Schizosaccharomyces pombe: one gene and its partner. The protein of the gene in region 2 interacts with the protein of the main gene of each other region in a pairwise test. Each region holds a gene or a part of one and is shown on either strand. Other genes may lie near its edges.

The links.
Region 1: the proteins of scd2 (region 2) and tea5 interact in a two-hybrid assay, tested with the Schizosaccharomyces pombe proteins (one study listed by BioGRID).

What each region holds. Positions count from the first base shown.
Region 1 is NC_003424.3:4,596,818-4,602,042, reverse strand, and holds tea5 (serine/threonine protein kinase Ppk2), read left to right. Parts: upstream 1-2,166; 5' UTR 2,167-2,420; coding exon 2,421-4,363; intron 4,364-4,421; coding exon 4,422-4,476; 3' UTR 4,477-4,577; downstream 4,578-5,225. Other genes in the region: protein mug157, read left to right, coding at 1-516; rnh203 (ribonuclease H2 complex subunit), read left to right, coding at 1,337-1,780; gid8 (ubiquitin ligase complex subunit protein), read right to left, coding at 4,774-5,199.
Region 2 is NC_003424.3:2,380,628-2,385,917, reverse strand, and holds scd2 (Cdc42 GTPase complex scaffold subunit Scd2), read right to left. Parts: upstream 3,415-5,290; 5' UTR 2,747-3,414; coding exon 2,738-2,746; exon of another isoform or gene 2,685-2,737; coding exon 1,083-2,684; 3' UTR 765-1,082; downstream 1-764. Other genes in the region: SPOM_SPAC22H10.08 (uncharacterized protein), read right to left, coding at 1-11; metallothionein Zym1, read right to left, coding at 4,036-4,188; SPOM_SPAC22H10.06C (uncharacterized protein), read left to right, coding at 4,317-4,598. UniProt on the Schizosaccharomyces pombe protein: Required for mating and morphogenesis. Interacts directly with scd1 and with cdc42. May bridge and facilitate scd1 and cdc42 interactions.

The DNA of each region.
Region 1 (5,225 bases), 2.2 Mb from region 2:
ATCCAAAAGGGTATTGACCAGCACGGCATTGTCGACCATCCGAAATTTGGCAAGGTATATGCGTATGAAGTAGATGGTTATGGCAGCATTTTATTTATGGATGACGCCAATGTTCCTTCTCTATTGTCTTTACCTTATCTTGGATTTGTAGAACGTGATGACCCTGTATATGTTAATACGAGGAAGATGATTTTATCTTCAGAAGGAAATCCTTACTACCTTAAGGGAAAAGTTATCTCCGGTATTGGTGGTCCTCACATTGGTTTGAGGAACGTTTGGCCCATGAGTCTCATTGTTCAAGCCCTGACTTCTGATGACGACGATGAAATCATGTCTTTGCTTGATGTTTTAAAGCATTCAACTGCTGGTTTAGGCTTAATGCATGAGTCTGTTGATGTTTCGAGTTTTAAAAGCTTTACTCGACCCTGGTTTTCATGGGCTAATTCATTATTTGCCGAGTTGATTTTAGATTTACTTGAACGCAAGCCTCACTTGTTAAAGAAGAATGCATCATGAAACTCATGATTATAAATAATTATAACTTTTGTGAATCAATTTGGACTGTTTAGATGCAACTTCGACTTGACTGAACTGGAGCTACTAATCTCATAAAATGGATTGGATTCAAAAAGTTTTATTTGATATTGTTTTAATGAAATTTTATGCAATTTTCTCATGTCTGATTTTTTATACTATATTCAAATTGTTACGACAAACTATTTATGATGTCCACTATTGGTTTAATACAAGCCGTCTTTTGTTAACATTAAAAAGAAGGTAGAATAGAGTAGCAAATCCTTTAATTATCTCTACAACTTTTCTTATAAATGCTTAAATCTAGACTACAACACTAAAATTCGTATGTATTATTGCGATTCTCTCACTTATCATTCATAAGATATCCTCAGTATTATTAAAGTAATTACTAAAAATTACGCAGCTATCACTTTCTAATTTATATTTAGTCAAGAAATAATGGAAGTGTTTTCGGAACAAAGAATCTCAAATAAACTATAAATAGACTATCTGACTAAACTTCCATCCCCGTTGGCCAGACTCATCCTTCCCCATTCTACTAAATTAATAAAGAAAAGAAAAAAAGCAACTATTACTTTCTTCTTTTCCAATATTACTATTATATACATTCGCATACTCTTGATTTATTTACTCTTACGATTCTCGTATTCGTTTTAACGAGGAGATATATTGTTAAATTTAGTTAAGGCATCGTTGGAAATTTTACCTACAGTTTCGCATTACTCGGTGGACTCTGTAAGTTAGATTCAGAAAATGTCAGACTAGTGTGTTTGAAAAGGGATAGCCTTCTTAGAGCACAATGGATTCAGTCAAACCTATTGTCAAATTGGAGCAAGCAGGAAGCTCAAACTTAGAGAAAGCTTCTTTGCTTCCTTGCCATATATCTTACGACGGCCCTGCGCCCGTTTTCGAGTATTTTCATGACAAAATCCAAATTTCGAACAATACGCATTCGAAAACAACAGTATGTTTGCGTGGACGCGAATTAAATGGAGAAGAACTAGATCTTCCAGAAAACTATACAGGGCAAGTTGTACTATGCGATGATGGACTAGAGAATGACGAAACCTCAGAAAAGGAAATCCCTGAATCCACCTGGTGTATCAATTCAACGTTCGAAAAAGTCATGTTGTGGAATCGTGACAATATGAGGAGCTCAGAAAAAGATCAATGGAAACGAGGAGTCCTTGAGTGGATTCAATTTGCTTCCAAGGTAAAGTTCAACTGTAGTTTGTATAATTAAGGATATATTGTTTACAAATGTTCATACTAACTTCGACCAGGTCGCGGACACCAAATGAACTCTCATCTTACTTTTGCTGTTCATCACTAACAGTTCTCAATATTCCATGTTGGATATTTAATTACTTCAAGGAGATGCTGGCGCAGGCATCCGTTGGGATCATTTAATAAGCGGGAAATTTATCGAATCTTCTGAACTCTTTAACTTTCAAAGATAAGCATCTATGAGCAATACCCGAATACATCAAAAATCCTTTATTTCTAATCAACAATAATATTGATTTACCTTCTTTCTATATCTTCTTAAGAATTTCAGGAATTTTTCGTTACCTACGGACGTTACCTTGAGAGTAACACTACACTTATCAGTTTTGGTACAAACCTAACAGCTATTGTAAAGTATATCCATCTTGATTGTTGAAAAATTGGACTTGCTTTTGTATTTTAATTAACAAAAGGGAAGTAATAGCTTTATTTATCAAACAATTTCCTCGAATTACACTCCAATTATTCGTTCTTTTTGTTTGGGTGTTAGTTCGATTGTCTACTTCTGTTTATCATTCTCGCTTTTCATGTTCGAAAAGTTTGTATTTTATGGTCGCTTTCTCTTTTTTCTTCTTTGTTGATTTACTTTTTTTTGTATGCTTTCCAATTCTACATTCCATGAACATCACGCAAAAAGCCACTTTCACAATAATGCCTGCCAAAGCAATGCGTCTTCGTCTGCCTGTAGAGCTTCTGAGGATCATTTAGTTTCTTCTTTTCCTAATGACTCTATAATTGACTTGCAGCCTTCGCGACCTGCCCCAGAACCACCAAAAAAGAAGTTTGGATACTATGCTCGTCGTCTGAGTGGTCACTTCCTTTCATTAATTCATGGGTCTGGTAATAGTACTCGTAGTCCTCCTTTCCATTTGCAAAACCAAAAATCGAATGGACAATCGGAAGTCTGGCATTCATCTGATGATTCAGGCAGTCCTAAACGACTAAATAGATCACGATCTTCAAAAGAAGACATGTATAGACGCAGGAGTTTACATGGACTACCATCGTTATCTCGTAGAAATTCTAAAAAATCTTCTACTCTTTCTCGATCAATATCTTTACACCTCAGAAGTGAATCAGCTCCTATTTCCCTCCCCATTCATCTATATAAGTCTTACTCCTATAATCATAGTCCGAGCAGTCTTCCAACTGTTCTTAATTCCCAAGCATTAAGTTCTCCCCCAGTCCCCACTACGCCTGATGAAGTTTCAACCAACAGACTTTCATCTTCTACTTCCTCAATGAATTGCCGAAATTTAGTACCCGATAATTTCAACATCTCGATTCGTCCTAATACTACTAACTATCGGTCGTCCATACAGGAAAACTCAAATGGTAACAGAGATAGCATTTCACCTTCCGCTTATGATGCTCCATTACTACACAACGTAGATACACAATCCATAGATGGGTTTGTGTCAGTAGCTTCGCATTTTAGCAGTGCTTCTACTGCTGAAAGTCTGGACGATGGGCATTCCGCAACGACAATACAACAAGGCGATGTTTCTTCGTATCCTTTATCTCGATCTGTCTCTACTCCAGTTCCTATGTCTCCAATTAGTATTAGTCCTGCCAAGCCTAGTCCACAAAGCCCAAAACTTTCACAATCTGCTGTCGGTCATCCAAGTAGTTCAATCCCTGCTGCAGCTATGCATAAAGTTTCATATTCTGATGATCTAATGCGTTTCGTTGCACGAGAAAAGTATTACCTACAGATAGTAGACTGCCTTTGCACACAAAAAGATCCATTGTTCTTCTATACCGACTTTACCAAAATATGCCAACAAGATACAGTTGGAACCTACGTTGCTCGTCAAACTCTGGATAAAGAAGTGGTTGTAATTAAACGGTTTGACATTTCAGCTGTAACTCATAGGAGGCTTTTACTCGAAGAATTGCAGCGATTATCTGGTCTCTCTCACAAAAATTTAATTCGTTATAACGAGAGTTTTTGGTATCTGAACAATATTTGGTCGGTCTTTGAATATAAAGACCCAAGCACCAAGTTGTCAGCTTTAATCCCCAAATATTTTTTTAGTGAGTTAAACATAGCTTCCATATGTTATGAGATAAGTTCTGGTCTTGCATTTCTTCATAATAGTGGGATAGCTCATCATAACCTTACTACCGAATGCATATATCTCACGAAAAGCAGTTGCCTTAAAATTGGCAATTATGCATTTTCTTCGCCATACATTGAAAGACAGACTAACCGTGGAGCAGTATCTCATGTTCCTGACTGGTTAATTGAAAAGAATTATAAAGAAGGATTTATGAAGGATGTTAAAAGCTTGGGCTTAGTTGCTCTTGAAATTTTTCAAGGTCAGCCAAACTTTTTTCGTAAATCTATTCAATCCATCCAACTAACTCCGAATGCAAATGTTTTAGTCAACCGAGTTCGTGGATTAATTAGCCAAGAATTTAAGGAATTCCTTTTACAAACCTTGCAAGCCGAAACATTACAAGGCCCTAATATCAATATGTTGTTGGAAACTTCTAGTTTTTTGGAAAAGCGACAAACGCTCAATTTTGAAATTTGGTAAGTTTTCAGTTTTGGAACACTTTTGTTTATATCCAATTCTAACCTTTTTTTTTAGCCTAAACAATCTTAATTTGCGAGAACGAAAGGCATCTCGCTACAGTTATCTATGATTACCAATGAAGAAAATCAAATTATTCGCCATAGAAAAAATATTGCTAATTTAATAACCCATTAAATTCCCTCCTTACTTTTAAAAGGAAAAGTTGTGTTTGCTTTGCTTGTCAGTAACTTGATACTATACGATGTTGCTTAACAACAAAAATTGGCTTTGTTAATTGAATGTCATATTATCATTTGTGAGTTCAATAATTTAATTATCATTAGTGAGAACAATACGAAAAAAGTTCTTATGTTAAATGGATGTAACAGACATAAATGCATAAACTGAGGAAGGTCGTAAAAAGTAATCATTTTATGGATGCTTTGGGCACAAATTTCTGCACTTCAATCGAATTCCTTTGTGCCTCTTTTTCACACCAGCGCTCAAAATTTACCAAAGACAACAACCTAGACTCATTTGATAATCCTTGAGACTTCAATATACTAACGTTGGCAAGGTTTGCAACACGCTCACGTTGGCTGTAATTCAAAACATTTTTCAAGGCAGGGCTGTAGGAAGAAGGAGGAAAACATAAAAGCGACATTGTCAACTCTAAAGAATTCAAAAACTTTTGATTTGAGGGTGCTAAAGGTGCTAAATTTTCATGTGCAAAGTTTAAACATCTTTCTACCGCTAAATCAGAGGTATCTTTCTCTTCAACAACTTCTCGTATCAATTCAAGCAATCTCAATCGTAATAATTCAAACAGAAGTTCTGAATTTGTGTCCAAAATCTATGTAGCTGTTAACTCGTAATCCT
Region 2 (5,290 bases):
TCAGCGTCCATGTCTATGTAAAGAATACGTTCTCATGAATTAATCATACAGGTATAAATTAAAAGGAGGAAGTATTAAAGTGAGGGAATCTTTAAAAAAAAATTTTAATTTAACATGTGTTTTTGCAATGTTGAAATAAAAGCAACTGCACAGCTGTAATTTATTGTTTTTTGATCTATATCGAAGGTTGGGCGTTCACTACTTGTCACTTCAACAGGTACTATTTTCTACCGCTATTTTAGATGCCACCATTCTAAGTATACGGAAAAGGAAATTATATGAGCATTTTTTATTTTTGAAATTTGATAAGCATTAAGGAAAGTATGCATGTAGTAAAGCAATATTTTAGATAAACTAACAAGATAAAGCGTCTTTAGTATTGGATTAAATGTATGCAGCATGTTACTTGTGGTCACATTAAATGTAAGAAATAATGTATACATAAATGAAGTAAATGTATAGAAGAAAGCGTTTCCGGCTTCCAATATCTAATTGTTTAATGAATCAACAGGTAGTTTGCAAAATTGCCTTTACCAAATTGGCTGTATATAATATACGTGATCGATATTGTAGCTGGTTCATATGAACCAATTTATTACTGCGACATGATATTGTATTACCAAATCTGCGTTGATTCAGCTGATTAAGACGTTGTCAAGAAATGTTGAACTTCTCGCAATAAAAACGTTTTTATTTTACTACTTAGGCTTACCTTTATCCCCTTTTGAAATACGTCAAATACATATATGTTTGGAGGAACAGTATCAAACAACTAATGAAAATATTCAATTGAATGATTGTGAACAAAAAGGGAGTGCATAGTTGAGATTTTTTGTTTATTTTACCTCCAAGAAAGCTAATATATAAGGAGAATAAACATTTTGCATCTTATTCGGTCGTGATTAAATACTATCCAAAAACGCATACCTCTCGAAAAAACAGACAGATATATTAGAAAGATAAAGAAAGCTATTATACCGATGAAATTAAATTAATAAAAGTAAACCATGAAAGAACGAAACGAAAAAAAAATAAAATGCAAGAACGTAATAAGAAACCCAAATCTTTAAATATACATAGTCTCAAAACCTCCGTCTTTCTGCAAAAAGTAAAACTCCTGATTCTTGAGAACATGCCTTCCGTAAATCGTCAACATTATTAAGAGGTAATACTTTATTCGCGTTCGTATCTCTGTATGACAAATGTTCACATTCTCCGAGTTTATTAGTCAATCGTTCACAAAAATCTTCAAATGAGATATCAGAGGGAACGCGCAAAGCAAAGGTTTCATCTCCTAATCTGACTTTAACTTTGCATGTCGAACCTGCAGTAGTCGGAGCTGATTCGGGAATAGAGATATTAGTAGCTTTTTCAGGAGCTTTCTCTGGCAAAGAGAAACTTAACGGTTCTCTGGGTAAGGCTTCAGGCATCGTACTAGTTGGATGAGGGGACTCAACGTCTCCGTCAAGCGGTAAGAAGAAAAGTTTGACGAGTTCATTTTCGAGTAAACGAGCTGGAAGCCTGCACATTTCCTTCAGATATACATCTAAATCCATTGCCCTTTGTGAAGATATTAATTCATTAACGTCATCAACTGGACCGGGCATGTAAGGAATAACTCGTCTTTCGTCCCCACGACCAGCTTCATTAGGAAATAACTCTAAAAACTTCGTCTGGAAATTAAAAAAGTCTTCGTAATATCTACAAAGGTTTCGATGTTTTCCATCACTCATAACGGCACGGACCAAATACCAATATTGGTCATCGCGAATCATGTAGTTTTCCACCATTGCAGCAACAACGGTAGGTTCAGAAGACATGTCTTTCTTGTTCTTAGAAGCGATGCTAGCCGTACGCGACTCCAATGTTTGCAGAGGTGTTAATTCGTTAGCGACGGAACCAGGAAAAGTGCTTGAATTGTCAGTAGCAGCTTGATATGTAACATCGTTATTAATTTGTAAATTTTCAGTGCTTGGACTTAAGCTAGGCATAGTTTGAGTTTCACCATCACTGAATTTCCCTAAAGGAATACTACTCTTTTTATAATCAGCAGCCGCACGTTTCCAATCCTCTACACGAGGTATGCAAGAAATACGTAAAACAGCCTCACTAACGTCTTTTATCACAGCTCCGGTTTTTAAATCTCGAAGTTGTATAAATGAAAGAGGAATGAGACCTGGACCCCCTAATCGTCCTATAGGTTTGGCTACTAACCACTCATGATTTGACCGAGCAATAATTATAATAGCCTCACCCGCCTTGGCTTCAAGTTCATCTGGTCGTTCAGCAGCAAAATCGAATTGCACAATTCCAAATAGCGGCTGTGAACCAGAATGGAGTTCACTGATTGAGCTCCTAGTGGTACTAGAATTGGTGGTTAAGTCTGTAAATGATATTTGCCCGCTGCCATCACTGTCTCGTTCCGATTTGACCGTTTTTCCTATCTCTTCAAAATGAGATACTGGAACAAAGCCACGAGTACCTGCAGCGGGATTACAAACTTCGTACCAAGCCTTGTCATTTTCACGACCTATAACATGAAAAAAGTCACCCTTGGCAAATGAAACTTCAGTTGCTTTACGAGCTGTGTAATCATAAAGGGCCCTAATAACTTTTCTCGGGGGTTCAATTGAAAAAGGATCTTTATCAAGAATTCGACTATGAGTTTTCCAAGTCCTTTTAATCTAGAGATGGTTAATAATTGATTAATTAACAAAAAATTTTTTTTGAAGCATACCTTTAACATAGAGACTGGAATTAGAACAAAAAGAAAGAAGGTAGTAGAACAAAATTTGAAATTATATTACAATAATCTCAGAAAGATTCTAACTATTAGAATTCCCTGCAACAAAAAGATTTAACTTAATTTTCATAAAACGATCAAGTGGAAATTATAATTACAGACAAACTGTTAAAGCGATAACCTACTGTAAGGGTATATGAATTAAGATCCGAGATAGCAAAAGGAATGTATGAAGAAAAGGCAAAAAGAATGGCACGGATTTAAAGAAAGCAATATATTGTAAATGAATCAATAATTAATTTCCAAACACTTTGAAAACGCTGTCGTTTTTATGAAAGATGAGTATACAGGATATAATATTCTCACAAAACAGACAAAATCGATTTGTTAGCACGTTGTAATTAGAAAGAACGAAGAAGCTAGCAGACACTCAATTATAGTGACTGAACTGCTGAGCCCTGAAAGATAGATGAAGGAAGAAAAGGACGGGAAAAGAGGCTTAATATAGAACAATGAGAGTTGGTCCAAGCAGCAAAGTAATATATTAGAAGAATACAAACTCAACAATTTTAAACAAGGAAACGTATTAAAATTTTTCCCAACTGACTCTCTTATTAATTTCCCTCTTACCAAGTATAAAATTACAGATCTACAACTTCTATGTTCAAGTTACCTTTCAGTTAATTCTGGAAGTGAATTTTGTCGCGTAGCATTGTAGTTCACTATCGTAATTATATTATAATGAGTATTAAACAGTTTAAAGGATTACGCGCTATTAGCGTTCGCTATGAAAAATAGATTCCGTAGTTACCCAAATATAATGTATACATTTGCTTTACAGAGCTTAACTTAGCAATGGTATAGAAGGAAGAAACAAACGTTCGTTAGTGCCGTTAAAATATTAAGACATAATTTTGGTTGAATTGATACAGAGTATCTTTTTTTGCACATAAAACTAATTTATTGTGGAAAAGAATCCACAATAGTGGACGATTTTCCAAGAAGATGATGCCCTTACTCTACGCTAAGCAAAAATAGCTGTTGAAAATAAATCAATTTATGATTTCATTATTATTCATAACAATCATATCTTAAGAGTTGAGTTGTAAGTAAGAATGCTCTGTAAAAAAGTAGCAATGTAGTAGGATCAAGACATCAGGGCGATTCGTTGGTCCATAATAGTATTGTTTTCTCGACTGATGCTTCGAAAAACAATAAGACGAGGCGGACATTGCTTTATGGATGAAATATTTCGTCAAGGCCAGAACTACAGTCCGTAAATCTCATATAGATTACTTCGAAGCACATTTGCAAGAAGAGCACTTGCAGTTATCAACAGCGCTGCTCTTGCAACCACAAGACTCTTTGCAATCTTGGCAACCGCACTTGGATTGGCAGTCGCAAGGCTTGCCTTGTTTGCTCTTACATTGGGTAGTGTGTTCCATCGTTGAAAGTTTGTTAGGGTGATATGAGTTGTTGAAAGTCGATTGTCTCAAGCACGCTTAAAGTGGTAAAAAAGGTGAGAGTAGGGTGCCTTTATATACATTTTCCAAGCTAAAGGATTGACAGTATCATGTCATGTCGATATAGGATCTGCAGGGATATTTGGAGAGGCAAATGCATATACGTATTTAGATGTTTGTACACAAATCATGCTGTTGTTTCATGGAACCAAACAAATGAAGTGATTGGACTTTACAAAGCAAATGAACATAAATTTATGAATAATAGAAAACAATCTCATATTAAGAATGGGTTAGTTGTATCATATTCAATATTATATCCAGTTGGTAAAGGTAGATCTCTGCGTAGTACTGGTGTTGTTTTGATTCTGGGTCCTGTTAAGGAATATTAACACTTTACATCATCTGATACTCGGGTTCCGTTCGTATCGCCACAATAGTTCCCGCCAAAAGGTAGGTGCCGCAATGGCTTTACTCCAAGATTCTAAATTCATACAGACTAGCTATGCCTTCCAACTGAATAAATATCAGACTTGAGGGCATATATGAGGAGGGTGTGGCAGAATTCACTTTTGTCCGTCAAATTCACTATTAACATTGGTTATAAAATACGCAAAAGTAAGTCTTTACGAGTTTAGTAAAAGCTGAAACTGATAGTTCTACAGTTTTCCTACTTTCTAGAATTCTCTGTTTCTGCAAACTTTAACTTAAAATTACATTGAAAACATTGGTTAAATTCGTTTGTTTACATTTATTTCTAAGCATAAAGTTTTTGGATTTATGCATCTTATCTATGTTTATGTACTCCTTTATCAGTAGATTTTATATTGACAGATAGATTGAGTATATAGTTGTTTACATGTTTAATCGCGTGGTGAAGCTTCTAGCAAAATAAAACATCGAGCGTTTATTAATAGTGAATAGAAATTAGGCATAAGAACAACTGAGGCATTGCACAACTTATAAATGTCTACGCGGAAGCTCATCACGAACTTTTGGTATTAGTTATTCGTTACGCTAGTATTATACTCTCTTTTCCATGTTTATTTCTTTCGCTTGAAGAGTGGATTATACACACATTGTA